Linked DNA regions of Alligator mississippiensis. The protein of the gene in region 1 purifies or fractionates together with the protein of each later gene. This does not show direct contact. Links are inferred from orthologs where the notes say so. Each region holds a gene or a part of one and is shown in the gene's direction. Other genes may lie near its edges.

Region 1 (15,830 bases):
AATCAAAGAAAGGGCTACATTCTTAACGTCTTCATCAACTGAACCACTCTCAAAGACTACCGAGTCAATGGATACACAAAGTGACATGCCCCTCTTAAAGGTACCCTGACATTGGGGAACAAACCCTTTCCCCAACACTGAAAAGAAGCCTCAAGGGGCATGTTCACACAAGCGTGCACATGCAATTTGCAGTGCCCCCAAAGCTTTTGAATAGCTGCAAAATGCATCCCATGCGTGCAATTTGGTTCTCCACGCTGCATATTTGCAGCACAGGGACAAGTTTAGATACCATGAAGTCTTAGTATCAAAAAAAAAAAGCCAAAAAAACAGGGTGGTGCATGACAGCAGCATGTGCTTCCCGAACCTGGAGCCTAGCTGGCAAGGGCCTTGGCTCCAGCTGCCAGCCAGGCTCCACACACCCGGATCATCTCTGCCGGAGTCCTGGGAGGCCCCCAAAACAAGGCTGCTGGGGCCAGCCCAGTTGCTGGCCCCAGCCTCCCCTACACCATCCAGGGCAATTTGCCCCACACCAGAGTGAGGCATTCCCTGGAGACAAGCAGTGGCACAAATATGTGCTGCTGCTCTTTGTCCCTGGGGAAATGCATGTGCCCACTCGTATGGATGCGCCCAAGGTGTTTGCTATACTCATCATCTAACTGAGGTACTTTAACATTTTACACTGATAAATCTAGGCTTCATCATTAGGCATGTAGTTTTTCATTTCTCCTTTGGTTTAAAAAAACAAAGAAAAAAGCAATGAAGGATAGCTTCCTCATACCCCTTTATAAAACAGAAACACTAGAGCTGAAAAAGGCATTTTTGTTTTTGGCCCTAACAACTTTTCTGATATCCCTGACAGGTTTTGACAAGTGAATTTCTTAGGCTTGACTTCTGTATGATTTTTAGATCGTAACAACAGGTCATGCAAGTTCAACAGGCTACTTTATTCACCTGTTTCACCCTGTATGGGTCAATTATGCAAATAAAGTAAAAACCACTTCAAGGGAAAGCAGCAACACTCCTACTCCTGGCTACCTTCCTCAAACTAAAGGAAGCACTGACTCTGACTTAAGGAGATAGCTGGTTTGAACTACAGGAATGCATTAGACTGCCACGCCATTGTTATGTAGCAAAAGGTGTTGCATTTATTACTTGTGCTGTTGCAGCACCGGGACTCCCAGTTACAAGCCAGAGTCTAGCTAGGTACTGTACAGTTGGGTGCTGCCCCAGATATTTTAGATAAATGACAATGCCTGTCTGTCATAAGCATTTGGAAGAATAAGCAAACAGTGAAACGATACTAATCAGCACAACAGACAATGATAAGTGGAAGTGAAAGGCAAATATCTGAGATGGTAAACAATGTTACATTTTAATCTGTGCTTGAAAATCAAACCAGTTTCCATACGTATTTCTATTTGACACAGTGCAAACAGTTTCCATTGGTCAAAGTGTTATGACTTAAATTAACATAATAGCTTCTGTTTTGGTAAAGTCTCAATGGATCATGCTACATTCATCCTCCAATCAGAGCTAATTCCTGAAATGGACACGGTAAAGGAAGAAATAACTTTAGAATTTAAGAAAATGGCATTAATTCAGAAGCGTCAAGCATAAGGTTTAACTACATTCCAATTAAGTATTTGTTTCTATGAAAAAGAAAAATAAAATCAAAGGGAACATATTCCTTCACCTATAGATATTAGTTGGTGTCCTAGATACTACGGTCCTGGGTAGGACTGTAAGTCCCATCTAACTGGAGGGCTGGGGGAAAACGTGACAGGGCAATGCACGGCAGGGCAGCTCCTATTAAAAAAACCACAGTGTTGCAACCTCCAGAGTAAGGCGAGCATAGGGCACCTCAAAACCCTAGCCCCCATCGCCTTGTGGGTAACTCCTTGGTTGGAGAAAGGCTAAGGGACATCACCCTGACAGAAACGCACCCTTGCTGAGGCATTTGGCAGTCAGCAGCAGTTCTTACCTGCTGTTCTCTGCAACAAGCTACAACAGTAAAATGCAGCCCGTGGGCCAGATGCAGCCTGCCAGGACATTCTATCTGGCCCGTGGGCCCCCTAAAAAATTTAGGGAATATTAATCTGCCCCTGGCTGCCTGTCATGCGGTCCTCGATGGCTTGCTAAAGCTCAGTAAGCAGCCCTCCACCCAAAATAATTGCCCAGCCCTGAACTACAACCATTGAGGCGCTGAACGTCTGGACTCGCTCTGGCTTTTGAACGGGGGGGGGGGGGGGGGGGGGGGGGGGGGGGGGGCCACACAGGTCTTCGGCAGCCTCCCCTCCTCTGCGCTCTTGCCTAGGCACAAGCATCCATGACCTTGGTGTGATGGTCACAGGACTCCATACAAGCAGACTCATCAGGCACCCGACTAGACCTTTTACACACTCACCGTGACCCAGAGTATTGATGGTTGCCTACTAGATACTTACTGAATCTCCCTGATTATTTTCTACTTTAATAATGACCAAAACAAAAAGTAAAATCTGCCCTTTGCTTGAAAGATACACTGCCTCCACTGCAGCCCTTAGTTTATTAAAGCTGACCTGTATTTTAATACTACCTCAGGACAGACCCCTGGCTTGTCTGCACAGACCCACACGAACATGGCTCTGTACTGTACAAGCCACACGCTCTACAGACGTGCAAAGTACAGCTCCTTCAATGCAACTTACACTCAGTACCTAATGAGTCAAGGGCCAAAGCGTTGGGAACACGGCAGCTGTTGGGAATATTTGAGGGGAAAAAAACACATTAACGCTAGGTTAACTTAAATTGTTATGTCTTGAGCTTTTCACAGAAATTTTTGTTCACCAAGCGCCTTCGCCGCTGCTCTACAACATCCAGAGTTGCTGGAATTAATTTTAAAAATTCTATTCTTTCAAGCTATTTTCAAATTTGTTCCTATTTTAAAACACAGCCTATTTTAACAATTGTTGCAGCAGCAGGACACCAACTGCCCTTGTCACCCTGCTTGAACCTGTGGTGTTTTAACTGTGCCTTGCAGCTGAGAGACAGGTTCAACGGTATAGTTTTAATAACCTGGCATTTACTCAAATCCAAGGAGGGTTTTAGTAACATCACCTTTACTCAAGTCCAAGAGAAGGGTTTTAGTAACACCACCTTTACTTGAGTCTAAGATGAGGGTGTTACTCGAATCCAAGGCGAGGGCAGTAGTAACACCACCGTTACTCGAATTTCTGGTTTTAGTAACACCACATTAACCCGAAGCCAAGATGAAGGTCCGTGTCCATCCGTCCCCCATTCAACATGGGGAAAGAATAACCTCGTCCCAGCAAGAATTAGATCCTATACGTGAAAAGTGAGAGCAAACGTAGCAGGCGTCCCACGCAGAGCATTTAATTAACGGGGGAGTCTTCCATCCGCAGCCGGTTTGGATCCGGGTGCTTGAGCAAGGACTTGTGCGGGCGGGTTTGGTTAGGGAGGATGCTGCCTCGGGGCAGGGGCGACCAGACCTGCAGCCCCACCGCCCCGGTGGGCACGGCCACACAATGCTCTTCTCCGCCGGGGCCCCGCTCAGACCAAAGGCTGCTTCCACCGCCCAGGCGCTCCCGCCACCCGACGGCGCGGAGGGGCCGGCTCCCCCTGCGCTGCGGCCCGGCTCCAACCCGCCTTTCTGCCCGCCCCGCCCGGCGCTAGGCCCGGGCTCCCCGGGGACCGGCAGGAACCGCCGCGCGCGGCCCCCGACCCCAGCCCGGCCCGCGCTCACCCGCGGCCGCCGCCGAAGCTGCTGTAGGCCCGATCGTCGTAGGCATCGAAGTCCGCCATCGCCACCTCAGCCGCCGCCTCCCGCGCGAGCGTGACAGGGCCGCGCCCGCAGGCCCCCGCGCCGCTTATATAGGGGGCCAGCGCGGGGCTGCCCGCCGCACTGCCTGCGCCGTCGCCGCCCGCCTCCCGGGGCTGCCCCGCGCGATGCCTGAGCCGGCGCGCCGCCCCCACCACCACGTGGGTCGGGCCCGGCGGCGCCATGGAGCGTCACAGCGCGGCGCGGGGCCTCCGCGCGTCACAAGGGTCCGGGCCGCCCGCCGCCGGGCCCCACGGATCAGCCCAGCCCAGCCCAGCGCGGGGGCCCCGGGCCCCGCCACAGCACCGCGGCTCGGGCCCGGCAGTGCGGCGAAGGGACGAGAGGCAGGGGAGAGCGGGCTCTCCTCTCAAGGAGGAAAAAGGGGGGAAGCGGCTCTTACCTTGCGGCCTGGCGGGTCTCCCCCTCCGTGTGTCACACCCGTGTCCTGCACCCCCTCTCCCCGTCCCCCCTACACCCTAGTGGCCCCCATACGGTCCCTAAGTCCCCCCCACACACCCCTGTGTCCCACACATATATCCCCATGTCCCCCTGACACCCCTATGCCTCCACACACCCTGTGTCCCCCATGCCCCCCACACCACCCCATGCCCTGCACATCCCCCCACACTCCCTGGTGCCCCCATGCCTTGCACACCCCCATGTCCCCCACGCCCCATGTGCCCCACATGTACACCCCTGTGTGTCCCCCTTCCCCCCACCCCTTGGCCCTCCCCCATATAGCCCCCCATGACCTTCACATACACCCCCATGGCCCCCCATGCACTGCGCACCCCCCCCATGCCCCGCACACCCTCCCACTCTGTGCCCCACACATACCCCCCATTTCCCACACTCCCTAATACCCCCCCACGCACACCCTTGCCCCTCCCTGTGCCCCCCCCACACCTTTGTGCCCCAAACACACCCCCATGCCCCATGTGTTTTCTACCTAAATTATTCACTGGGTCTGGACTGGCCGTGGATGTTTCCATGGTGGGTCCTGGTACAAACAAGGTTGAGACCCGCTGTGCTAAAGGACTGGTCTAGCTAGACCAGGCTCAGGGTGATTAGGGGTTTCCAAGGGGAATAAAACCCAGTTTTACAGCCTGTGTGTTCGCAGCACTGTCTTTGGCTCTTCTTAAAAAATGTCGAAGGCATTTGTACCTTACAGACTGGCCAAAGAGAGAGAGATGCATAAAAACACACGTACATGTGTATGCATACATATACATATATTAATCAAATGACAGCGTATGTGTTTAGCACAAATTTCCAGAGCCGAAGCTCAATTCATAGGTGTGTGTGTACCCAGCTATCTAGCCCAAGCTTTTCCTTAGTCTGTATCTGGTTAGATATATATCTGGTTAGCCTACAAAGTGCAAATCAACTCTGCCTTCTTGATTTCAGATTAATGTGGTTTAGTCTCTTTTAACAAAAGATGTCAGTGAAAGTACTGGATGCAAACAAGCTCCTGCGCTGTCTGCAAGAAAAGCATGGCAGTGCTGTGCCCTGTATGTGGGAACGGGAAAACGATTTGAAAAAATGCGCAATTGAAACTCAGCGAAATGCTGAAAACAATGCCAGGGCTTAAATGGTAAAAGCTAAGCCCTAAGTGCTGCGTGTGATTTCAGTTTTAATAATCTGTCAGAGGTAGATCAGGATACTTGCAAAATCAGAAGCAATGCACAATCAGGATATTTCGTTTAAAAATAATGTACTTTTAGCTAGCTGGTCTTAAAATATTATTTGCATTCTGTCAGCATCTCTTTTAAGTTCATCACAGATAGCCTAGCAATTATTAGTAAGGTGATCAAAAGTGGTTCTTTCATACAGCAGACCCCATTGCTGCTCTCTCTTCTTTAGATAACTGCAACTGACCTGAGATAAAGTGATATTTTAAAAGGAAAAGCAACCAATGCCACACATTTATTGGTGGTTCTTCTTACTCTATGAGCTTCCTCTGTCGTTAATAAAGATCACTTTTTTTTTCTTTTTAATGGTGCTGTGGGCAGGAAGATAATGGACTGACTGTAGTAAGGGTTTCCTAATATATTCCAAAGTGTGTCATTTGCATTATTGATTTGTTTTTTCTACTGGACCGTGGTTTAGGGTTTTATTATAGAGAACTACAACTTATTGATTTTCCCCCATCTGACTGTGTCAATAGGCCTAGTGTCCCATCCCAGACAATACTAAGCTGTCACAATGCAAAAGATTTTGTTTTTTGAGGGAAGCTTTTCCATATGACATTGTATACCTTGACTTCCAAAAAGCCTTTGGTCTGGTATCCCATGATGTCTTCATGAGAAAATGGGAGGATTGTGGGCTTAACTCCAAGATGGTCAGGTGGGTAGGAAATTGGCTGCGGGGTAAGCCTCAAAGAGTCCTAATGAACTGTCCTGAGTTGTCCTGGCAAGAAGTGGTCAGCGACATTCTTCAGGGGTCCATGCTTGGTCCAGTGCTTTTCAACATCTTCATCAATGATTTGGATGTGGGTCCAAGTTCATAGATGAAACCAAGTCAAGGAGGTGATTCTATCACTCTGCTTGGCATTGGTGAGACCGCAGCTGGAGTACTGCGTCCAGTACTGGGCAGTGCACTTGAACAAGGATATGGAAAAGCTTGAGAGAGTCCAGAGAAGGGCCATCCATATGATCAGAGACTTTCAAGGCAAGACATATGAGGAAAGGCTGAGGGACCTGGGACTCAAGCCTGAAAAAGAGAAGGCTCAGAGGGGACCTGGTAGCTTACCACACTACATTAGGGGAGTACATCAAAGGCTCCGTGAACAACTGTTCACCAGGGCACCCTTGGGGTAAACCAGGAGTAATGGCCACAAACTCCTGGAAGACCATTTCAGACTCAACATTAGGGGAAAACGTCTTCACAGTCAGGATGTGCAGACTGGAATAAGCTCCCTCCACAGGTAGTGCAATCACCTACTCTGGAGATCTTCAAGAGGAGACTGACCCCAGTCACCAGACCCCAGTTGTCTTTCCTTTCTGGTGCAGGGGACTGGACCTGATGATCTTCCAAGGTCCCTTCTGGCCCCTTACAATTTCTGAATCTATGAGCATCTATATCCAGCTGCCATTTGAGAGTCCAGGTTACGCACTTTCAGTCTTCAAAATCTTGGTCACTCCCCAGTTTTTGGGAAAATAAGACAAAACAACTCCAGAAAAATTAAATATTAGAGGTGCACCGATAAATATTGGATCGGCACCAATAAAAAGAAAATGAACTGTATCGGGAATCAGCCTGATGTCTCTGATAATTGGGCAGATAAATGCCTGTGCATGCGCACAGATGCAGGCAGCGAGGAGCACAGCCCAGCAACATGGAGAGCTGTGTGCAGCTGGTAATTCTGTTGTGGTGGAAGGGGAGAGGGGAGGGAAGGGGCTGGGGGGCCCACAACGAGGGAGGGAGTGGGGCTGGGGCACACATTGCCCAGCCGGGGCAGGGTGGGGTGCAGGACAGAGGGGGGGCAGCTCCCACTGCTGTGCCCCACCAATGGGGGGGGGCGTGTGCCCAGAAGGGCACGGGTGGTGTGCCATCAAGTCTGTGCAGGGTGCAGGCAGGGAGGGCTGCAGCTGTGGACTGGCTCTGTGCTGGGCTCTTCCCCCTGGGGCTGGGCCAGGCTGTGCTTGGGGAGGTGGGGGTGACAGCACTGGGAGGGGGCTTACGTGGGGGGGCTGCAGCCACCCCAAATTTCACCATAGCCCCTCCCAGCACCGTGGCAGCCACCTACTGCAGCCCCCACTGGGAAGAGCCTGGTGCAGCCCCAGCCCACAGCTGCAGCCTGCCCTGCCCCATGCAGATCTGTGGGGCACACGCACACCCCATGCCCTCCCAGGGTGCACACAACAACGGGAGCCCCCATGCCCCCCATCCCACACCTGCCCTACCCTAGCTGGGCAGCACCTGCCCCAGCCCCACTCCCTCCCTCACCATGGGGGACCTTGATCTGCCCCCCGCCCCTCCCCATCCACCACAACAGATTTACCAGCTGCATGCAGCTGTATCGGAAATTGGATTGGTATCTGCTGATAAGCCTCCTTAAAAATTGGCTATCGGTATTGGCCCCCCAAATCTCTATTGGCGCACCCATAAATAATTTTTTTTTTCTAAAGAGTCTACCCCACATCATTGCTTATTGGCGACATGTAGGGGGTGCACGCGGGTGCACGTGTACCTCCTCAGATCGGCGGTGCACTCCCTATGAAAAGCACTGCCACTCGCTCCTTGCCACGGCCCCCCTTGCTGCCAACACCACCAGCAGTGTCTGCAGATGGTTGCCGACTGCCAGCCAGCGCTTGCCTAGCCCCCGACACCGCCGTGGCCACCTCTGGGAGCTCCCCACTCGGCCTGCCCGGCTGCCAACACCGCCTGCAGGCGGTCCCTGTGCCCCCCAGCCTCCGGGGGCACGCGTCGTTCATGTCATTGCTTTATGGCAGACTGGGCTGCCTTCCCTCAAGGGCAGATGTAATTAATTGACTTTAAAGGCACCTTATCTTGGTGGGTCACTGTTCTAGGTGGAGAATAAACTGGTACCAATACCGCTGCACCCATTTTTAAGTTATCCCGCTGTAAATCATTTTGGTGACCCTTCTCAAACTACAGGCAGTCCTCAGACTTACGACGCAATTGGTTCCTGAAAACCGTGTCTTAAATCGAAACGTAACTCGGAACCGATTTTCCCATAGGAAACAATATCGTAAATGGGGGATTTGCTCCTGAACCTAAGCCCGATACCTTATTTTCACCAAAAATAACCCAGAATGTTGTACTCGATCAATGATAGTCGTATAGAGCACACCGCCTGCCGAAACTTCCTTAGCCTGATGAAGCCTTTTTGAACCCGAAAGCTTGCTTAATAATTGTTTTCCCCGGTCTTGCTTGCCCCTGGACCTGCAGCTCACCCACCCCCTCGTGCCCGCGTCAGTTTTGCAGCTGCAGGGGAGGAGGGGACACCCGCAAGGGAGCAAACTTTTAGCATCGCCAGAGATCCCGATGGTCATCACGATCATAATAATCCCCGCGGCCGGGCCGGGCCGGGCCGGGCCGGGCCGTGCAAGGGAGCGCGGCGCTGGCGCTGCCGGAAGGCTCGGGGCAGGCCGGCGCGGGCGGAAGGGGCGGCCGCGGCGGGGCCACGTGCGGCGGCGGCGGCGGCATGGCGGGGCAGGGCGGCTCGGGGCCGGGGCCGCAGCTGCAGCAGAGCCGGCAGTTCCTGGACTTCTTCTGGGACATCGCGCGGCCGGAGCAGGCGGCGCGGCTGGCGGGCACCGAGGGGCTGCTGCGCTACCTGCGGGCCGGCGGCACGGTGCGGTGCGGTGCGGGGCGGGGGTGTCCCGGGGGTGCCCCCTCCTTCTCTCCCTCCCTCCGTGTAACGCGGCGCCCTTGGCTTGCTCGGCAGGACGAGGAGCTGCGCTACGCCCTGCGGCGCCTGGTGGACGGGCTGGCGGCCACGCGGGAGGCGGCGCGGCCCGGCTTCAGCCTGGCCCTGGCGCAGGTGGGTCCGGAGCCGGGGCGGGCGGGCGGGCAGCGGGGTCTCTAGGAGGCTGACTCGCTGCCTGCCTCCCTCCTAGGTCTTGCAGGCGATGGAGGAAATCTCCCTGGGCTCCGTGCTGGAGCTGATCCGAGAAAAACACAGCCTCGACAGGGTCAAAAAGGTGAGTCCCCCGCTGTTTTCCTGCCAGCATCCGTTGTCCTCGGGGAGGCTTCCTCGAAGATAAATGACGACAGGGTGTTTTGAATGGTTTTGAACCTGTCGGCGCGAACGCCGCATGCTCCCCAGAGTGGCGGATGCAAGTGGGGAGCTGCCGCGGCGCTGTTGGGATTGGGGGGGTGGCAAGCGAGCGCTGACCAGTGGTCAGCAATCGCCTGCAGACACCGCTGGCAGGGTTGGCGGTGACCCGCGGCAATCGCGGACCGCCCACAGACGCTACCGGCAGCGTTGGCGGTGACCCGCGGCAATCGCGGACTGTCCACGGACACTACCGGCAGCGTTGGCGGTGACCCGTGGCAATCGCGGACCGCCCACGGACGCTACCGGCAGGGTTGGCGGTGACCCGCGGCAATCGCGGACCGCCCACGGACACTACCGGCAGCGTTGGCGGTGACCCGCGGCAATCGCGGACCGCCCACGGACGCTACCGGCAGCGTTGGCGGTGACCCGTGGCAATCGCGGACCGCCCACGGACGCTACCGGCAGCGTTGGCGGTGACCCGCGGCAATCGCGGACCGCCCACGGACGCTACCGGCAGCGTTGGCGGTGACCCGCGGCAATCGCGGACCGCCCACGGACGCTACCGGCAGCGTTGGCGGTGACCCGCGGCAATCGCGGACCGCCCACGGACGCTACCGGCAGCGTTGGCGGTGACCCGCGCACTTGCAGACTGCCCGCAGACACACTCGCGGGGTGCACATGCACCTGCACGTTGCCACCGATGCCTGTTGGGATCGGGAGCGATCGTGGCATCAGACCCCGACTTGCAAGGACAATTCCCACCCAGGAGGCTTGTGTGTGTGTGTGGCTTGCAGGAAAGTATATTCCCTTCATCTGGAAAGATATTCAAGACCAGGTCCTAAGCAATTTGCTGCTGCACTTGGAGTTCCTCCAATTTGAGTGTGAAATGTCATGTTTTTTGCATATGTAATTGTCAGGCTTGTTGTCTTCTTTTCAGAAACTCTTGAGAAATGCTGCCTTCGGAAACTTTTTTGGGGTTCTGGCCCTGTTCCAGTCAGGCCGTCTCGTAAAGGTAACGTTACTGTCATGTCGACAGAGGAGCTGATGCTGTGCAAAGTGCAAAAGAAAACCAGAAGTGGACGGACAGCCTGTGCTTTAGTCAAGCCAGCGGTCTGGGATATGAGAGCTCGGGGTTTAGTTCCTTTCATTGTTTAACCGTAGGCCTCTTAGGTAACCTGAAACAGGTAGCTTAGGGCAAGATTTTTTGGAAGTGTTTAGATGCCCAATTTCTATTTATTTCAATGGGAATTAGGGGGGGCAAACCACTTTTAGGAATCTCAGCTTTATTCTTGGTGTGTCTATTCCAAATCTGAAGAAGGAGATAATAAATATTTCTCTCTCACAGGGGTTTTAAGGAGGATTAATAATGCCTGAAAGGCAGCCGAGAAGTTTGATGCTTTGGAAATTGGGATCACCTAAAACAGATAGTGGGTACAGAGAGCTGAAATCACAGGTTTTGTGACTCCACATTATTTTGCGTTTCTCTTATCTGGAAATCAGAAGCGGCCATGTATTCAGGAGAAGCTGTTGGGAATGGCCCTTTTAGAGGGAAGGAATCCAATCCAATCTTCCTTTACTCTTCCATCCCCATTCACCCATGTTTGCTACCAAAGATGCATTCAAGTTCTCTGACGGAAATAAAAGAACTGTCACAGACAGGACCGAGAACCTGAAACATGTTCCTTTCTGGTGGCATGGGAATACCTTGTCAGTCACAGATGGGAAATGCTGCTTCAGAAAGAATGGATGTGTACGTTGGGGAGCAACTGAGAAGTTTTATTATTATTAAAACTAGCACACTCAGAGCAGATACCTGGGCTCAGCTGTAGCCTCACTATATAGCTTTTTATCTGTGTTTCTCTGTCTTTTTATTTGTTAACTTCTAGGACCAGGAGACCCTCCTGCATTGTGTCCAGCTTCTGCAGAGCCTGTCACAGCGCCCGGAGTTCCTCCGAACTCTGCCTAGGAAAGCTCTTGTTGACATCCTCTCGGAGGTAATGGAGACGTGGCGCATCAGTTTGGGAGTTTTTTGTTTGTGGCATTACCTCCCCTGCACCTTAATGTATCTATATTTAATTTAGATTGTTAGAGTGGGAATTTAAAGTGTGGTAGCTATTCTGAATAGCTACATGCTTGGGCACTTATTCTGGAAGAAGTGTGTCTTGTTCTGTTCAGCTTAGCTGACTTTCAGAGTGTGCGAGCCTTTTCTTTTGGGACTGATCCAGCTTCACTGTAGTTGATAGGAACGTTTCTGTCCAGTGTCCCGATGCGCTCTGTGCTTACAGAAAATAACATTGGCAACTGTGCGTGGTGATGCAGGTTGTTTATCTGTAATATAGGTGCACAGACAATGCCCGTACAAGCATTCAGTGTGTTGCGCGTGCTCAATATTGAATTTTGATCGTCAGAGTAGAGGGTCAGTGTATCTGAGCTGGTGGGGGTAGGGTGGAGGCAAGCAAGGCTGAGAAGTGGAGCTGAGTGGAGAAGTGGGTATAGCATAAGGAGCACCGCGTGACTTGTGTGCTCTTGTCCTTGCTCTGTATAGATTCTGAGAGTGAATTTACAGACGTGCCCCCATGCCCCTGCCATGAGTGCACACAGTGGCAGGGATCCAGCTCCCCCACCACCGCCAGGACAAGCTGCCTGTGGCTCTGTCCCGCTCCCCACCCAGGCCCTGCAGCCATGCATTTCTGCAGGGACCTGCTCTCCCGGCTGCCTGGCAGCCATGTGCATGTGTTCGTGCACAGGGCATCCCCAGCTCCTGGCAGGCTGAAACTCTGGGAGGGGAAACCTACTGTTTCCTGCATTTTTCTCCTTAAAATGAGAAGATGGGGGTTGTACTGCATTTTCCCATGGTGAACAGAAAGCCCAGATCCCTGGCCATCAGTATGCTGATAAAATATTTTTATGGTATTGTCCATACAGAATCTTTTTCTCCTAAAAAGCAAAAAAAGGATGGGTATTCCTTTTCCCATTGGATCCTCTGCTAGTGTTGCATATCCTCGATGTCTTCTCAGCTTGCAGCATTTATATTCCTTTAACTCTGCCAGCGTAGTTTAGACTGGGGTAACTGCCTGCCTTTCCTCAACTGTTAAGGAGTTTTTATAGTCAGATAATTACATTATCTAGGTATGTCGTTCCAGGGGGAGAAGAATAAGCTGGTACCAATAGAACTGTACCTGTTTTTAAGATAATCATCCTGCTATAATTGATTTGGTAAAATCTATTGTTACGCGTAGATCAGCAGTTCCCAACCTCAGGTTGCAACCCAGATGAGGGTTGCTGGGGCAGTGCTGCTCACAAAGGACAAGTCGCGCCGCATGCTGGGAGCTCCCCGGGCTGCCGCCGCACTCTGCTCCCAGTAGCGGGTCGTGGGGGAAGGCTGGGAACCACTGGTGTAAATAGTTGTACCATTCTGTAGCTACGTACAAACCAGGCCTCACTTGCTGTGTTGCTGTCTCACCTGCATTGCTGTTCAGACCCCTCAGGCTGTGTTTGAGGAGGTCCTGTTCAGCACTTTACAGGCTGACCTCACTTCAGCCTTCAGTTCCCCGGAGCAGCTGCACCTCTTGCTTGTGGCCATACAGAAGTTCCCTGAGGTTCTTCAGCCCAAGAAACTGAAGAAACTGCTGGGCTCATCCACCCTCGTAACCCCGGAAAACATTCCCAAGTGAGTTGTTATAGAAGGGCGCAAAGATGCCATGTCCCCATCCTTTCCACTTCAAGTGGGAAACGTTCAGGTGTTGACATGAAGGGGTGCAGGGCACCTGTGTTTTCTGTTGAATCTAGTGGGAGACAAGGGTGTTTGGAGTTAGTCCATCTCCAGTGTGGCTGGGGGTGCCGATCATCTTGGGAGGCACTCGCCACATACAATTTGTCCGGGTTCAGTGCAGGTCCTGGTCTGCTCCAGAAAGCAGTTTCATGGGTGGAATGGATCTTCAGCAATCTCCTTCTGGGATTAACAACTCTGATTTTCTGTCCTCTTGCAATTTTCCTTTTTTTCCCCTCTAGGCTTGTAGCAGTTCTGAGGACTGCTGCCAGATCTGAGAAGAAGGACAAGAATCTGCCAAGCGTGGGGCTGGATCTGCTGCGTGTTTCTCTGAAGGAAGGTGCCTTTGACCTGTTCTGGAAAGAAGCTGTGGAGAATGGGTTGCTTAAGGAAAAATTGGGACCAAACAGGTTTGTTCTTGAATGCTCCAGTCACTTTTTTTCTTTTTTTCTGCTCCCCACCCTAGGCATGCTTTGTTGCTCTCTGGGACCAAAGCTGGACATAAAACCCCAGACTCTCATGAAGAATTGCCTCCCTCTTCTTTTTACCAAATTTAATTGTTCCAAATTGAAGAGGCAACTCTGCCACAACCTAAGAAATAACACTTGAGCACTGTATGGCTTTCTGTTCAGCTGGGACAAAATAGCTTATGATGGGGAATAATGTTGGCTACTTGCATGTTCATAATTCTTATACCTGGTACGAACACAGTTCTTTATACTAGTAGGATTCCAGCTAGAGAGATCGTTTTTATGCTTCTTTTTAACCAAAGGAATAACTAGGGGTGCAGTTGTACATGTGTCAAGGTGCCTTAAAGCTAAAAGCTATTTCTGTTTGGGGAAACAAATTAACTGTGCTGCCATAAAGGTATTTGCAGTAAGAAGGAACTGGTGGTTTCACATCAAACCAACATAATTTAAATGATGCAAGTCTTGGGTGTAGACAACGTCTCAAAGCAATGGTCCCCAACCTTGGCCCCCAGGTAACAATACTGAGCAGTAGTGTGATGTAGGCTCCTTATATTCTCCTTTTCTTGACAATTTCACTTTTACATTTTTAAATTTCTGAGGCCATAAAGAACATGAGAAGGTCTTGTGGGCTCTGGGAGAGGGGCTCGAGGATAGGAATACAGCATAAAACAACTTGCAACTCTAAGTTTAACCAAAAAATCATGTTGATAATGTTGTCGAAGATGGCACAGGATCAGGAAATTGTGTCCAGTGCCTTTTTGAATTTGTCCTTTCATGATGGCAGGGGGAGGGATTTGAATTAGGTTTAGGGGTTTGATTACACCTCTGGTTTTGGGTGTAATCAGAGTCAAACATCTGTTGGTTTCTAATTATAGTGTGGTTGAGGTCACCAGAATATGTTAAGGTCTTTTTTTTTTTTTTTTTTTTTTTTTTTTTATGATTAAAGACCAGAAAATTTGCAAGAACAGATATGTGAACTGTCTATCAAAACTGCTATTTTGCTCTTCAATCTAAATCGTGATTTTTGTCACAAACTTGTGACCAGAAGCCCAGATCCAGAGATGAACCTCTCTGACCTGTCTCTAAGGGATTTTGGTTTGTTTACCATGTCAAAGTTACAGAGGGTCAAGGAAACCGGTTTCTAAACAGGAGCTGTCCAAATCTTGTGGTGTATATGCATCTCACTTTAGCACGTGGCCTGAGAGTGTCTGCAATAAAGGGCATCTCCCAGGGCCTGGTCACCATACCGGCCCTGGGAGACCTACCTACCTACCTACCTGTCTAGGGCAGTCTGCCTGGTCTCTCCTGCCCCACCTTGTTGTTAAGATACTGGTTGTAAAAATGCGGGAGGTTGCCTATTTACATCTCCGATGCCTAGGGGTGTACACATGCCTCCAGCCTCCCCTTAGTGTCCCATGCCTCATGGATGGCATCCTCGAGTTGCTCTTTGCTCTGGCTCCTGGCCGGGCCAAACTCAGCCCCTTGCTAGGCCTCGTGCATTCATCCTTTCACTCCATCTCATCGGGCCTCATTCATACCTCCCCCCTCTCACTGGGGCCTCTCGGACTTCACCCTCTCTCGCTGGGCCTTTTGCATGCTGCCCCTAACTGAGACATACCCAAACTGCCCTGCTCCGTTGAGCGACCACGTAGGCCACTCACACTCCTTGGCGGGCTGGCATGCAGCCTCTTGTGACCCTCATCTGAATGGTGACCAGCCAATTCACTTTGTCCTGGGGAGAGCTCTGCCCCAGGCACCTCTCTGGGTACCTTGTCACTCTTGCCCACTCATTGGGGCCAGCTACTTGCCCTTTACACCCATAACTCCCACTGAGCCACATCAGTCAGCCTTGGGCCCGGCTATAGCGGCAGGCATCCGAAGATCCATCTTGGCCTCGCTGCCCCCTCCTGGGGCTTCCACGTGTGCCCTCACTGTAGGGCCTGCCACTCACCACCCCTCCTCTGGGGCCCCACTACTACAGCCCCTTCCAACTAGGGCCACTGGGGCCTTACACCCCCACATGGGGCT
Region 2 (15,816 bases), on another chromosome or scaffold:
TATTTTTTAAGTGGATTCCTATGAAACAAGAATCTTTCAAACTAAGAGGTAGCCTGGATGTCACTTTCCTTTTTTCTTTAATCTATAATTCAATATTTGGTTTACAGACATTAAACAACTGTACCTGTATGAGACCTCTTATGGAGCTCCAAATTGCTTGGATGTTTGAAAGCCTTTCCACATAATTCACAAGAATACTGCCTTTGCGACTGAAGAATCTGTGACTGTTCTTGTTCTTGTTCCGAAGGACCCTGAGCTCTTTCCATTTCAACAGGTTGTTCAAAACTCTCTGAATTAACTAGATCTTCAGTTTCTTTTTCTGCCACAGCACTGATATTTGCCATCCCCATGGCATTTTCATTTTCAGATTCAATTGCCTTTGGTTTACCAGTTTCATCACTTTTAGGCTCAGATGACTGCTCTGCAGACTTTTGTGATCTTAAGAAGTTTAGTTTTTTAAGATGAATTGCCTTCTTCAGACGCATCTGTTTAGTAGGCTGTAAGGATGTGCTTTCTGAACCCGGATCTGGAACAGATTCATTCAAGGACTGGACCAGAAAGTTTGACGGTAAGTGATCAGAAGACTCCAGAATACATTCAGAGTGACTGACAGTACAAGAATTGCTCTCCACTGCATTTATTTCTGTAGATGCATTAATTTCTGTAGACGCATTGAACGCAAAAGATGATTCCGTTATCCTCTCATGGTTAGAGCAAGCATTCTGTTTGTAGAACTGTTTGCTATAAAAGTTCCGCAGTTTATAGTAGTAATTTGGCTGTTTAAACGGAAGCTCTGTGCAATTACCATCTAATGAGTCCTGCGGCTGTTTTTGTACATCACCTGAGGGTGTATGAAGATTAAGAGATTGTGATCCATGGGAAGGATGGTCATCCAAGACTTTGCTAGTCTGTGCATCCGAGGAGCATTCATGCAATAAGGTAGCTCCGTAAGTATCATTCACACAGTTAGTATCTGTAGCCAAAGTACTTTGCAAAGCAAATACATTATTACAAGGCATGTTGGCTTGCTGTTCTACAGCTGTTGAGGATTTTAAAAAAGTGTGGCAAATGTTCAGCACATTTTGTACCTGAAGACATTGTGCAATATCCAGCATAGCTTGTACATTGTCCTGGCTAAGATCAAGGTGAGAAGTGTACATGAAGTCCAAAATCTGGCCTATGCCACCTACATTTTTAATATCCAAGTGAAAGACATCATTCTTCTGGCCTGAAGAATTCTGAAAAAGGGTCCTAACAAAGCAATGCATAATTCTTTATAATGTACAGACACACAAACTGCTAGATTACAAAAGCTTTTATTTAAAAAAATTGAACACGCCGGCTAATATCCCAAACTGATATGAATCAATAATATAACATGCAGCATGGGACTAAATCACCAGCACTATAGTACTATAAGAAGGATTAAGCAGATGTTGAGTAGTTTTCAGAACTCTACCCTCTTTAAAGTAAATGGAAGTTTTAACACAACTACTGTGGAAGACGTTAACGTGTTACTTCTGAATATCCCACCCAGCCTTATAATTACCCCTCTCTCATGCTTAGAACATTGGCCTGATTATTGTATTAATGGGTTATGCATAGTGCTGGGTAGACTCTAGGGCTGTGCGAAGCTTCGGTCCCCAATTCAAATTTGGCTGAGATTCGACCCAATTCAGCGGCCGAATCTCCAAAACCGAATCAAATCAGGAGACCCTTTAATCTCTTTGAATCGAATCGGAACCTTTTGAATCGATTTGGAGAGATTCAGAAATATTCGGAAATTCAGACATAGACACAGCTTTAAATGTTCTGTCTACGTACCTTGAAGTACCAGGCGGCTTGTGAATGCTGCAATACTGGGGCAGATGGAGTGCAAGAGGCTCCCCAGCGCGCTCAGCAGCAGACCCAGAAGTGGACCAGAAGCACTTCTGGTCCACTTCCAGGTCCACCAGGGAGCGCACAGGGGGTCCCCGTCCAGTCCCCCTCCAGCTTGGCAACTGGTGCTCCCTGGGTCTGGGGGGATACCTGGGGTCCCCCCGTGGCCAATCGCCAAGCTAGGGGGCACATGGGGGCCCCCTGCAGACCCAGAAGTGGACCAAAAATACTTCCGGTCCACTCCTGGGTTTGCCACCAAGCACGCAGGGGGTCCCCCTGCACTCCTGTGGGATGCTCCATCTGCCCCACCACTGCAGCATTCACAAGCCGTGCCTGGTACCTCGAGGTATGTAGAAAAACATTTAAAGCTGTGTCTATGGCCGAATCTTCAGATTCAGCCAAATCGAATCAGGGAGAGTGAGCAAAGTAGGTTACAGATCTATAACACTATTACAAAACAAAGTGACAAACAGAGCCTACTTTGTTAAGAATGCTAGCATGTTACCCTTTAAAGGAACTGACTGAGCTTCTCCATCACACACTCCCAATGAACCTTACTGAAACTTACCCTGCTTAGGTCATTCCCTTGTCTACCTGACAATTTTTTTTCAAGTTCTGGCCACATCTATAGGCTGTGCATCATTTCATTGCATAAGACTAGATCCCATAAAGAATTTAGGAGCCTCAGTTCTGCTTAAATCAAGCACTATGATTCAAAAATCCCCACTTATCTGCTCCTAATCTCACTGGACACCTCTCCAGTGACAATAAACATTCTGCTTCTGTGGCTGTACAAAATAGCCCCAGCCTGAGCAGCCTCCCATCTAAACTCTATGGGGATTCAGGAACTAGGCTTCCCTCTGTTTGAATCCAGTTTAGTTTGGCATGCTTCAAGAAAACCTACCAGCAGAATATGGTCCCTTATCAAATGCAGTTGTAACCACTTTCTTATAAAACACAGCCAAAGGAGAAATAAAAGTTGATACTGCCTGTTCTGTGAAGTAGCCTAGTACAGAGGTGTCAAAGATACAGCCCACTGGCTGGATCCAGCGCACAGAAACCTGTCGTTTGGCCCACAGTGTTGCCTATGGGTCTTAAACTGGACTTCTACGCCACACATGGCACATGTCAGACCAGTCCTGTGTGCCAACAGGGCCTCATGAATTTGACATCCCTGGCCTAGTAGTTATAATACTCACACAGGAAGCAGAGAACAGGCTTCAGCGCCTTCAGTCGTGAGGTAGTTTAAACCTATGCCTCCTCTCTCCAGTACCCTGCTGGTTAGGACACTGTCATAGGAGGTAGGAGTACTGGATTTAAAGCATGGGTTAGGCCAGTCTCCTGGAGATGGGAAATGTGGGTTGGAGCCCTCTTAAGTTAAAGAAGGTATTGAACCTAAGTTTTCCACTTTCTTGGAAAGAGTTTGAATCATTAAGTGATACCATTGTAAGGTTTCAATACAATCACCATTTTCTTCTCTAGCAACTGCATTTTAAAAACAAAACAGTAAATATTTTTCAGTTCCTTGAAAAAACATTTGTGTTTACCCTCAGAAGAGTGTCCTGGACTCTGAATTACAAACAGATGGAGGCACCTACCTGGAGCGCTTAACAAGTGCTTAAGCTCTGGAGAGGCTTCATAATGCGCCCATTCAAAACGTCTTCTATTTGCTAGCTCTGGCTAACTCCCAGATACTGCAGGGTTTCTTTGGATGACTGCAAAGGCATTAACTCTCCTTGTGCACTGTATAGAAACCAAGCACCTAACTAAGGGTTCTAGGATAGTCTGGGGGCCAGGCAGCCATAAAGTTAGGTACCATGGTGCCTAAATCCTGTTCGGTCTAATCCACACTGCCTAACTAATCCACACTGCCTAAGTTTATTGCAAATATTTTTCATTTATTTGGGCTAGTCTTTTGAAAACCCGCTAAAGGAATCAGATATCTAAGTCCCATTGCATTTCAAAATGGGATGGATGCCTAACTCCTTTCAACTACTTTGAAAATCTCAGAGCTTATAACAGCATTTCTCTAACAACAGAAAATATTTGGATCTCAGCTTTCCTTTCCCTTATTTACTTATTAAATCTATCTTCTCCCAGTTATTATTTTATGTAAATTTGTCATATTCATTTTGAAGATGATGCAAGAAGAGAAGAAGAGCAAACACAGAGCCCAATCATTATGGCAGGTAAAGAAACTTTCAGCAGTACACCAATAAGAGATTTTTAGGGCCGATACCAACAGCCGATTTTTAAGGAGGCACATCAGCAGATACTGATCTGATTTTCAATATCAGCCCAGCAGCTTGGAGAACTGCGTGCAGCTGGTAATTCTGGTGTGGTGGAAAGGGAGAGGAAAGGGTTGTGGGGGGGCAAATCAAGGCCCCTGCAGCGAAGAAGGAGTGGGGCTGGAGCTGGGACAAGCACTGCCCAGCTGGGGTGAAACAGGTGTGGGATGGAGCCGCAGCTTGTCCTGGGGCCACAATGGGGGGAGGCCTCCCACCGCTGTATGCTGTTGGTTCGGGAGCCACTGGTCTGGCACTTACCCGCTCGTCCAGCAGTTCCCACCACTCGTCCGAGAAGGCATGGGGGGCTGGGGTCGTGCCCTCGCATTTGCACGGGACAGGCCAGGAATAGCCCCATGCAACCCCAGCCCCAGCCTACTCCATCCTGCCCCATGCAGATCTGGGGGCACATGTGTGTCGTCCCCCCACCCCCGACAAGTGGTGGGAAATGCCCGACTAGCACTGGACTGGCAGCTCCCAGATGAGCGGTGCGCAGCAGCAGGAGCCGCATCCCCTCCCCCCTGGGACAAGCCGTGGCTCCATCTTGCACCCACCCTGGCTGGGCAGCAGTTGCTCCACCCCACTGCTCCCTCACCACGGGGACCTTGATCTGCCCCCACCCCTTTCCCTCCCTCATCCCCTTCTACCACACCAAATTTACCAGCTGCATGCAGCTCTCCAAGCTGCTGGGCTGTGCTCCTTGCTGCCTACATGCTGTGTTACAGCTGCACACACACACAAGCATTTATCACCCAAATTATTAGCCACATCAGACCAATTTCCGATACGATAAATTTTCTTTATATCGGTGCCAATCCCCTATTGGATTGATGCATCAGTGCACCTCTAGAAACTTATCTTGAAATGTAGTTACTGCTCACTGCACATTCTAATTTCACTTAAAAGTTCTGGAAGCATCAACTGACCTGCAGATTAAGAAATTTCAGTGTATAAATCTAGGCTATAAATTCTGAAAAACTTAAAAGTGGCTTCCAGATCAATTTTCTTTCTAACACTAACAAACAGCAAAAGTGGATAATCTTACGAGGCCTCAGCCACTAAATCCCATATCTGGCCTGGTCACCCTTACTGTGTCCCACACAGAACTTTAAAAAGAAGTCTCATCATTATCATTATCTTGCAGTACAGTACTGGCAGCAGACCAAAGCCAGAGACTCAAGCCTCATTATGCTAATCACTGTAAGCACCAAAATCATGATTGCAACTCAAAGACTTTACCATCATTTCCTGCACACAGAATGCACTTTCCCCCAAAAAAATGCTTGCTAGAAACCAGAGTGTGCCCTAGACAAAGGAACTATAGTAAGAGCAGTTTTTGCCCCTTACCAAGTGAAACAAAGTAAAATTTGTAATGCACAGGGAGCAGAACAATGAACAAGCTCAGCTCCCTAACTACTGCTATTCAGTTACCTACTATAAGGAAAGATCTCTCTCTCTTCATTCTACCTGTCAAAAACAAGGTTTGTATTATATGCCAGGATGCACTGGACATGAAAAAACATGGTAACACCTAATTATGATCAGCTACAAAATAAATTGGAATGATGCACATTTTAATTAAAGCAAATACAAAATGCAGATTAGGTGCAAGCAAGCAATCTAAGACCCCCTAGTTTTTCCCTTAAAACTGTGATAAGGTATCAACATTACTATTTAGTAGCCAGCAGAAAAATTCTTTCCTCAAACATCAACTTATGGTACCCTGTTTATTGCTTCAGTAAAGGTTGGAGTACCTGAAATACTGACTGAAAGCAGCTAATACGTTTTTATGTGCTTTGAAGCAGACTCCTTTTACCACCAACATGCAGTCACACAGAAGCCCTTGAATACGCTGTTCATGTAGCTGCTGGAGAAGATGACAACTATGGCTAGCAACAGCATCCATGCTAGAGCACCATTTAATTACCTACAACAAAACAAGACAAAAAATACTTAAGAGAAATGCAGCTTACATCTTCCTGCAGACCAAGTTTAAAAATAGGTTAAAAGGTATAATGCAATGCAATGCAATGATTAGTTTCTCTCTCCCCAGTGCAACAGAGCTCCTCATAATTTAGCATGACATGTAGGCAACTTAAGGAGAATTTTTAGTCACTAAGAGCGTACTACAGACATCAACATGTTTATTAAAAATCAGTATTTCCTAACAGTGAGCATCTGCCCAAGGTATACTACAAAGTAGATGGGATTGTAACCACGCATGATTTGAACAGGCATACAAATTAGATTTTATCAGAAAGACATACCATGAATCTTAGTGAGGCACGTTTTGAAAAAGGTCTTGATGCCTTAACTTAACACAAGAAGAGCTTCTCTTTCTTTTTTTAGAAAAAGTTTTCATATCCCAAGCCAAATCAACCAAATCAATTCCAAATTCATGAGGCGGTCAAGAACCATATGTGGCCCTACTGCTGGCAAAAAACATCCTCCATCCCCACCTGGGAATTCAGGTGTTTCCTAAAGATTTGGTGGACATCCTACGTACAAGCCCAAGCCCAGAGACTTGGGGTTCGGATGCCCCCGAATTTCATCACATGGCCACAGGAGCAAGCTAGGAAGGAGTCTCCTGTTTCCATAAAGCGGGGGGTAAAGCCAAGATCTTCCCACTGGGAAAGAAACTGCGAAGTTTACACATAACCAATGTGCCAGCAAAGCGGTTTTCCCCAACCACTAGAAATTGTTCCCAGGTCTACCCTGTATTAACCAAACTCAGGTGACTCCTAAGGACATCTGTCCGCATCGCACAGCGCTGCCATTTCCCGGGGAGACAGGTCCCTTATGTGCCACGTGTCGGAGGCCCGACGCTGTGACACGAGCTCTCCCGGCCCTGCCCCTCTCGCCCTAGGGGAACAAGACACCCCGTTTCCACCGGATTTGTCCCAAGCCATCAGCCGTTGCGCTCTCACGGCGGTTACAGCCAGGGCGGGGCAGGCCCGCCTTCGCCCAACGCTACTAAGCCTGTTTCCAGCTCCTTAGGGAAGCGTGGGAGACGGCGCCGCGGGGCGGAGGCAGCCAGCGCAGGCCGAGGGGCACGAGCGGCCAGGCCCAGGGCTGCGGCAGTCCCAGCCCCGGGTATTGGAATCCGAGGCCCCGGGAGCTCCCCCCCACGCAACACCTCCCGCCTCACCGGCTCCAACCGCCGCTCTACCCCATCCCCGCCTCGGGCTCGGCCCCGGCCCCTCCGCGCACTTCCGGCCCCGGCGCTTCCACTTCCGCTTCCGCCCGGCGGGGAGTCGTTGGCGCGCGCCGGGAGTTGAGAGCGGCCGTCGGAGCTTCGCACGTGTGTCGGCGCCGCTGAGTGCGCGATTGGCCGCTCGCGCCGCAGGACCCGGGAGCAGGTACGCTGAGAGCCGCGGGCCCAGCCTCTCTCTTGCCCGGCTTTCGCCCTGCCCGCCCGGCCGCTCCTGGCATGGGCCCGCGCGGGAGGTGGTCCATGGCCCATCCCAGCACGTGGGAATGAAGGGCAGGGTTTTGAGGCGGATCGGACTCGTGCCTTGGAGGGAAGCAGTAGAGACAGGCCCGTGCTGGGTTGTTCCAGCTGCCGACCAGGTCTGAGCTCAGTCGTTTTTGTAGGTGCGGACAGACGTGCAGCTCCCAGCTGTAGCTCAGAAGGATTTCTGCAAAACTTCCTGAGCTACAGCGTTACACTGGACCAAACACAAGTTTGCTGTTGGTTTCAGGAGGAAGGAGCGTCCTGCTGGGGGCTGGGAGCCTGCAGCTGGGTTCCCATTGCAATGACCCTGCTCCATGTTTTCAGACCGGGAGGGGGAAAAGCAGAGGAGTGAGCTCCCCCAGCTGGTGCTGAAAGGTGGGGTGAGTAAATTGCGGCCCCCTCCACTTCAGGGGGGCTGCAATACACCTCACCCAGCCTCCAGAGGAGGGTTAAAACCCCCCAGGACCAAACTCTCTGCTTCCTTTCCCATTCTGAAAACGGATATGCTGGGAGCTGTGCAGAGGCAAGTTACAAAAGTCACTACATTTTGCAATATCTTTACTTGATACCTCGTGCAATGAGGGGTCAGATTTTCACACAGTCTTGCAGCCGTGCACCTGTGTTTGGTCACAACTACGAACTGCTTTTTGTGGCCAGATCAGGTGAAAATTGTCACTTCTGTCTGCACCTCTAATTGTGACTTGATGCGCATTTGTGTAGCAGACACACACTTTCCACAGACCTGGGTATCTCGTTAAAAGACGCAGCTCTTTACCCCCAAAACCATTCTGGGTCGAAACCACAGAAACGTTAAACCACCAGTATAGGCAAGGAAAGCAGGATGGGAGCAAGTCGCAGATAAGTAATGCATCGTGCAAGTCTGGTTGCTGTCAGGAGGGACTAGTTCAGCAGCAGGCAGAGCTAACAGTAATTTCAGGGAACACGTGGAAGAAAGGGGTCCTGGAGGAGGGAGCTGAATTGGACTGAGGATGTAGGACCTTTGGGAAGACTGATGTGCTAGCTATTGGGAGCATGGGGAAAAAGGCATGGGGGCAAGAGTGAGGGGGAAGAAAACATTAAAATGAGAAGGTGAAGAACAGTGCATGAACAAGCGAGCAGAGAACAGAGCCTTAAATTTGAATAAAAAGAGTTTGATTTTCATGCAGAAAAGTGATCTAGTGATATGTGTTCAGAAAGAGATAATACTGGCAGAAAAGGAAGACTGGAGAGGGAGAGTTGGGGATACCAGTGTGTAGATAGTGAGCTAACCTAGGTAACTCCTCTAGATTACAGGCAGACTCAGCCTTGGAGAGGAAAGACGTATTTGAGAAACGTTATAAAGGGAGACTATACAGATATAGGCACCTTGATGCATAGAGAGAAGCAAAAACTGAATCATTGGTAACTTCAAGGTTATACGCTTGTTGCAGTTTTCTATTTGAAACTACGTCTTTAGAGTTAGTTCACATCACATCACTGGAACATGTCTACATGTTCGTTAATATGCCGTTGCTACAGCGCGTTAAGTTTAATACCTCTGATATGAGGTACTAGATAAAGGCATAGTAGCTGCACTAATGTGCAGTAGCAAAGACGAATGTTTTTTTATGATGCTTAATGCGCAGTAGATGAGTTCTGCGCATTAGCATGGTTTTTGCCATGAGGTACTAATGCACAGTAGACCGGTCCACTGTACATTAAGGTGTCTTGTACCCACTTAGAAATAAACTAGAAATAAAAATGAGAATTATGTAGAGCAGCAAATAACTGGCAATGCTTGCTCATAATAAATGTTTCATAGGTTTGAAAATGATAGGTTAATCAATATACAATACATTTGTGTGGGTTTTTAAAATATTTTTCCTAAATAATTCAGATGATACATTTTTTCTCTAGCGTTTTGAAGATTTTACTGTAACTGCCTTTGAGAAGAAGCTATTTGGATCCAAAATGGTAGTCTTCACATGCAATGCATGTGGAGAATCTGTGAAGAAAGGACAAGTTGAAAAACATGTAAATATTTGCAGAAGGTGTCAGTGCCTTTCTTGTATGGATTGTGGCAAAGATTTCTGGTAGGTAAATGAAGTATTTGTTTGACAATACCTGCTTGGTAGCAGCAGCAGGAGATGCTTTAGGTAGCTTTACTCTTTACTCTTCTACTTTAGCATCCTGAGTGCAAATATAGCATTAATTGCATGCTGTACTTTGGGCAGGGTAAGAGTTACAGCACAAGCAATCATTGATACCAATTTGTGGGCAAGAGGATCCAAAGCTGGGAACTTGAAAGAGACAATAGCACCTTCCCCTTTTACAGGCTGGAGTGGATTAGTGACAGTGGGCACATTTACGCTAACTCCTGAGTAAAGCATCACAGTCTACACGTGTGCCTATATTAGGGTACAGAAAACTAATTAATTCTGTGATAGGCTAGTACTGCTCAACAGAAGTACAGCAACTGCCGGAAATTTCCATTTTTTTGAAGCCAGAGCAGCAACCGCCACTCCAGTTTCAAAAAAATGGAATTTTCAAATTTCTGGCAGGTGCTCAGTCCTGAGTATGCCAGATTTATGAGGTTATGCCAGGGGCGGGCAATTATTTTGGACAGAGGGCCGCTTACTGAGTTTTGGCAAACCACCAAGGGCTGCATGATAGGCAGCCAGGAGCAGATAAATATTAATTTTCTAAATTTTTTTAGGGGCCCCACAGGCCGGATAAAATGGCCTGGTGGGCCACATCCAGCCCCCGGGCCACATTTTGCCCACCTCTGGGTTCCACTGTACTATGGCAGAGTACTTGCGTGCACTCAAACGTGTAGACTGTGACCAGGGCTGGCTGGGGCATGCAGGTGCTACAGTGTCCAGCCCCTCCAGAGCCTGGGGCTGACCCCCAGACCTCCTGCTCCAGGTCAGCTGTCCCCGGGCTCAGAATCTTCACATATGTCTGAGACTGCCCTGGCTCTAATTGCTGCAGTGCACATGAAGACTTTGTGCCTGGGAGCAGCTGACTCCAGTGCAAACTGCGCCAGAGTTTATTCAGGCACATTAATATCATGTATCTACACATTCTAGTCATTCCTTCTGGGCAAGGGAACCCTCTCTTCACTTTGTTACTGTCTTTTTCTTTTGTTTACCCTAGTGATGGCAAAAACTTTTATCTCTGTATGGTGAGAAACAGTTGTAATTTTTAGATTTTCCTTTTCCTTTATTAGTTTTAGTATTTATATCTTTTTATTGGGGCAAACTGTTGGATGCTGTGGTTACTGGAGAATTGCTATGAAATCCTGTAATTCCAAAGTTACAGCTCTTCTTGTAAATATCCAGATCTCTGAAAAAAATGCCATTGCAGTCTGCTTTCCAGTTTTAAAAGTAAAAATTAGATAAAAGTAACAACGGGACTAAGGAAGTGGAATAATGGTAGGTCCATATCAGTAAGTTCACCACTCCAATGGTTTACATTTTCAAGCCCCCTTTTAAGTATTTTAACTTGATCAGGAGACTACCTAGACCAAACCTTGTTTAAAAAAATCTAATTTAGAATTTTTTTATATGTAATTATTCTTAAGCTATTATTCTAACTTGAGAACATATCTTTATTGTGAATGCTACTCTATAAATATTTAGAATTTTTAAATGTGCAGAAGAATAAAAAATGCAAACACTTTTCTAGCAGGCTTTATTGAGAATAAATATGCATACCACATATACTGTATACAACATATAATTATGAATGGTATAGAAAGCTTTGTTTATATTGTTTAGAGACTCTGTATTCTCTTCAGATAACTTCGCTAGAAGCTAAGAAAGTGCTTTGAATGGTGAAAATAGGCATGTATTTAAGCATGTAGAACCATACTTATGTGAGTAGTTCCATTGGCATTAGTGGGACCATTTACATACTGAGTTACACATGCTTGTGTTAATGGTATTTGGGTTTTAATTTTTTACTGTAGTGTTTGGCTTTCCATGGCTTCTATTTCTCTGTTTTTGTAAATACTGTTGAGTTTGAAAAGCTGGATTCATTGACAGAATATTATATACAGGTTTTATGTTAAAAGGTTGTTTTTTTTTTAAATATCAAAGGGGTGACGATTATAAGAACCACGTGAAGTGCATAAGTGAAGATCAGAAATATGGTGGCAAAGGTTATGACGCAAAAACTAACAAAGGCGATGTAAAACAGCAGGAGTGGATTCAAGTAAGACTTGTTTTTCATATATATATATATATATATATATATATATATATATTCAGTATATCCTGCTAGGTATAAATGCAAACAAGACACAAATTTAGTATACAAAGCAGCTCGTATTTGAAAAATGTAAATACTGGTTCATATGAGGGAGTTAATATACAGATGTTTCACTTTAAATTTGTGTCCTGAAAAAATGATCTGTTATGAAGAGGAGACAAACCAAATATTTTTGTAAAAATGTGCCTCACCAGTTCTCTGTTGCAGTTACTGTGCTGACAGTAACATTGTGAATATTGCAAATGTGGTATACTCTGTGCTTGAAGGGAATACATTAATCTCTTACTCAAGATGCTTCTTGTTTCTTAGGAAATTGAACTTAATTCCTTCTGTGAAGGAAAAAAATTACAACCTAAACTATTAAGAAAAGATTCTTGAAACTCTTCAGAGGATTTTAGAGGCACTTCTATTTCAGCCCTGAAAATAAACATATGAAGCTGAAAAATAGGGTTATTTGTAGTATACCTCCTCCTCTTAGTTTAACAAAATTTTCCTTTCTGATGTCATTTGTTTTTCTTTTAAATATTTGAAAATTATGTTAAATCATAGTTGGTCAATTTTTTTTTCTCTAACTAATGCATTATCTGAAAGTTTAGACAAGTTATACAAATTGCATGCATTTAATATATAGTTATATCTACATACTAGCTTAACTTTACCTGGGTCATGCTATTTCTGAACTTCATCTATCAAGCTAGTTCACCAGCAGTGTTACAGTTGACTTGTAACTGGTGTAGATGATTCATTAAAATCACTTTGGGTTCTTCATAATTTTTAGATCAAAACCAACAAATTGATGTTTCTTGTCCACCTTTTACATATGGAAGTTTCTAAGTATAATCTGTGATTCAAGAGATAACAAATACTAGAGTGTATGCTAGGTGATTTCTGTTACTTAGAAGTACTGTGGATTTTTTTTATAGGAATTTTCTAATCAACTCAACTACTCATCTGACTTAGTAATTTTGGTTTTCTTTTTGTAGAAGATTCAAGAAGTAATGAAGAAGCCAAACATTAACCCCAAAGTACGAAATATTTTAGAGCAAATACGTGCCTATGACAATATTCCAAGAAAAAAGGTCAAATTTCAGGTATGTTTTTAACGAGATTAGCAGTGGTTCAAGCGCTTTTCACTAATCAAAGACATTAGAATTTTTTTCAGCTTTGGAGTCATGAGAGTGTAACAAGCCTCTGTAGACCTTTTCTTGTTTCAGTACTCTGCACTTCTAATTTTTTTTTTGATTGCTATGTCTGCTGTTTCTGTAAACACCTATTCGAGACCTGTACTGCAGTGATTTCTTTTCTGTCCTAATAGGCCATGTCCAGATGAGTGTGGCTGTGCAGTATGTGGTACCGCAGAAACATCTGTGGTGCCACATACCGCACATTCAGTTGTTCTCTGTGCTGCAGGAAAACAGTGCAGAGGGGTTTTTTGACCCCTGGATATCCAGGGGTCAAAAAAAACTATGGCAGGAAAAAAAAGTGGAGCAGTGCATGCAGAGGCAGTGCACACCGCTCAAAAGTGGAACCATGCTGCCCGGAGCTATGCTTTGGAAGCTGTTCGGGCTCCACACAGCAGAATTGCTGCTGCTGCAGGCCCAGGAAGCCCCCAGGTAAGGCTGTTGGCGCCAGCCTGGTGCTGGCCTCAGGCTCCCCTACCCCACCTGGGGTAACTTGCCACACATCAGAGCGTGTATGGCGCAGGCATTCCCCATTTACGACTGGTGGTGGTGCAAGGTGTGTTGCCGCTAGTCGTTCCTAGGGAACCAAACATCTACATCACCTGTGGACATACCCATTGAGGTTAGATTTTGCTCCTTCTAGATCTTCATTGCTTCTTATGACTCTAATACATACTTCCAAATGTGGTCCTTTATTAAGCTGCTGCTATACTGTTTTGCCAGTTTCCAAGTATTTTGGAGCGTACATAAAGAAATACTGATGGGACTAGGAAGGCTGAGCCCTCTGTTTTTTCTCCTCCACAGCTCAGTGTATGATGCTGACAATAGGCAAGGTTTATGTTTCTGATGTGTAGTTTAGGAGATAGTTGGAACTGTGGTAAAACTGCATTTTGGGTTATCACAGTGGAAACAAATATTTGAACATGTTATTATTTGTTTCATTTATATGCTGCCCTTCCCAACATAGGTTCAGGGTGGCTTACGGTAGGACAGAATAACTTATAAAACAAGAACGTGACAGGGTGGAGCCTGGAGGGTCTCCCTAGATAAAGTCAAAAGGGGGTGATAAGTACTCATCCATCACCACCCTTTGAAACCTCTGCTAGAAAAGAGTGGAACCAATTTAAAGCTGTCCCATGAATGTCCACCAGGTCATGTAAATGCTTTGTCAGCCCCTCATGGTCAAGTGTATCAAAGGGTCTTTGTGAAGCTGGAGGTAACTATGCCTTTTCTCTGGATATTTCTCATGCTTCCAGGCTTTGCTGGCTGTTGCATGGGGCCAGGATGGAATTTTTTCCTCCCTCTTACTGCTATGGGTCAGGGTTGGGGAGAGATTTCTTGTTTTTTCTTTTCTTTTTTTCCCCACCTTTCCCAGAAGTATTAGGTGTTGGCTGCAGCCAAGGCTAGGGATTTTGACTGGGGTGCGCTAGTGCTCATTCTGGGACTTAAACCTGGAAGTTCCTGGCTAGAGGGTCGTGGTCTTTTTCTCAGGGTCAGATAGCTGGCAGTATTTGGAGTCAAAGAAATGTTATTCCATTGTCAGATTGGTACATGCTGTGTGGGGGTTTCTGCCTTCCTCTGTAGTAGGAGGCATGGCCTGCTTCCTTGGATTTTAACAAGCCTCACAGCAACAGGACATTGTCCGTTGTTGTTCTCCTGCTTTACCTGTGGCAGGTTAGGGTGTTTTATGTCTTGTGGTTGTGCCAGTATTGACTATACAGTTTTGCTAATAGGCTAGACAATGGATTTGTATAGAATGGTTTGGCTAGGGATGATCCTACCACGGGTGGGGGGTTGGACTAGCTGACCTCTGTAGGTCCAATCCAGTCCTACTTTTTTTTTGTTTGGTAAGTTGCACTGTAATAGGGGATCAAAAGTTTCTACAGCTCCAGTCCCATTACAGTACAGCTTTCCTCACGTGATTGCAGAAATGTTTATAACAAATCTAACTACACTTACAACATTGAGTGAGTAGTTACAACTCCTCCCTACCTTTAAAGCCATCACCATTTTTCATTTCCTTTGATTCTTAAGAATATCAACAGAAATTTGCTGCTGCATTTTTCTGTGTGACAACTCCAATAATTTTTCTGAATAGGTACATATGAGATATTTACATTTCATTTTTCTGTAACAAATTGGGGTGATGACTTTGGGGAATGGGTTTGCTGATTCCATATTAAAAATGGTTTCATCACGTCTTTTATACTTAAAAGCTATCACAGGATTTAGTATCATGTCAGTACAATGCAGTCCTTACTCAGAATAGATCTAGGACTAATATGTGACATTAGCAGGAGTTTTGGATAGCTATTGTGACAGTCTGTGATGCGTACTTTACAAAATACTATAATAGACCTGCATAACTTGCAAAACAAATAGAAGCAAAGACTCTCCAGGAGGCAATGGAGAGTGAACCCTTAACTATATGTTCATTTTATAAGTTGGCTGCTTCTTGATTTTCACCAGTAAGAGGTCACGTGACCTTAAAAATAAAATAGAATGTCTGCTGTGTTTCTTATTTCTGCTCTTATCTTGTACAGAACTGGATAAAAAACAGTTTGAAAATTGAAAACAGTGCTCTGCAGGACCAAGTTTGGGATATTTTTTCTGAAGCAACTGGGAATGTAAGTCAAATCAAAACTACAAAATTTTTCCTGCAATAAACATGGAGTCAGTAAGGTGCTAGGTGGAGAACCCTCGTGATTCTTATTGGAGTGGAAAATGAGATCTTTTAGAGAATCTAAAAGATACTATAGAGAAGAGC

Evidence for each region.
Region 2: the proteins of MYBBP1A (region 1) and LYAR purify together in Homo sapiens (affinity purification with mass spectrometry; 3 studies listed by BioGRID and IntAct, with this or other methods). This does not show direct contact. The link is inferred for Alligator mississippiensis from reciprocal best matches to the Homo sapiens genes MYBBP1A and LYAR.

The regions. Positions count from the first base shown.
Region 1 is NC_081837.1:13,863,595-13,879,424, forward strand, and holds the start of MYBBP1A (myb-binding protein 1A), read left to right. Parts: upstream 1-8,960; 5' UTR 8,961-8,987; coding exon 8,988-9,137; intron 9,138-9,230; coding exon 9,231-9,326; intron 9,327-9,402; coding exon 9,403-9,486; intron 9,487-10,500; coding exon 10,501-10,575; intron 10,576-11,449; coding exon 11,450-11,557; intron 11,558-13,042; coding exon 13,043-13,233; intron 13,234-13,574; coding exon 13,575-13,742; intron 13,743-15,830. Other genes in the region: EIF4H (eukaryotic translation initiation factor 4H), read right to left, coding at 3,743-3,801. UniProt on the Homo sapiens protein: May activate or repress transcription via interactions with sequence specific DNA-binding proteins. Repression may be mediated at least in part by histone deacetylase activity (HDAC activity).
Region 2 is NC_081825.1:28,821,960-28,837,775, forward strand, and holds the start of LYAR (cell growth-regulating nucleolar protein), read left to right. Parts: upstream 1-7,422; 5' UTR 7,423-7,522; intron 7,523-9,513; 5' UTR 9,514-9,567; coding exon 9,568-9,689; intron 9,690-11,696; coding exon 11,697-11,811; intron 11,812-12,851; coding exon 12,852-12,959; intron 12,960-15,592; coding exon 15,593-15,676; intron 15,677-15,816. Other genes in the region: ZBTB49 (zinc finger and BTB domain-containing protein 49), read right to left, coding at 125-1,251, 5,918-6,090, 6,431-6,433. UniProt on the Homo sapiens protein: Plays a role in the maintenance of the appropriate processing of 47S/45S pre-rRNA to 32S/30S pre-rRNAs and their subsequent processing to produce 18S and 28S rRNAs. Also acts at the level of transcription regulation.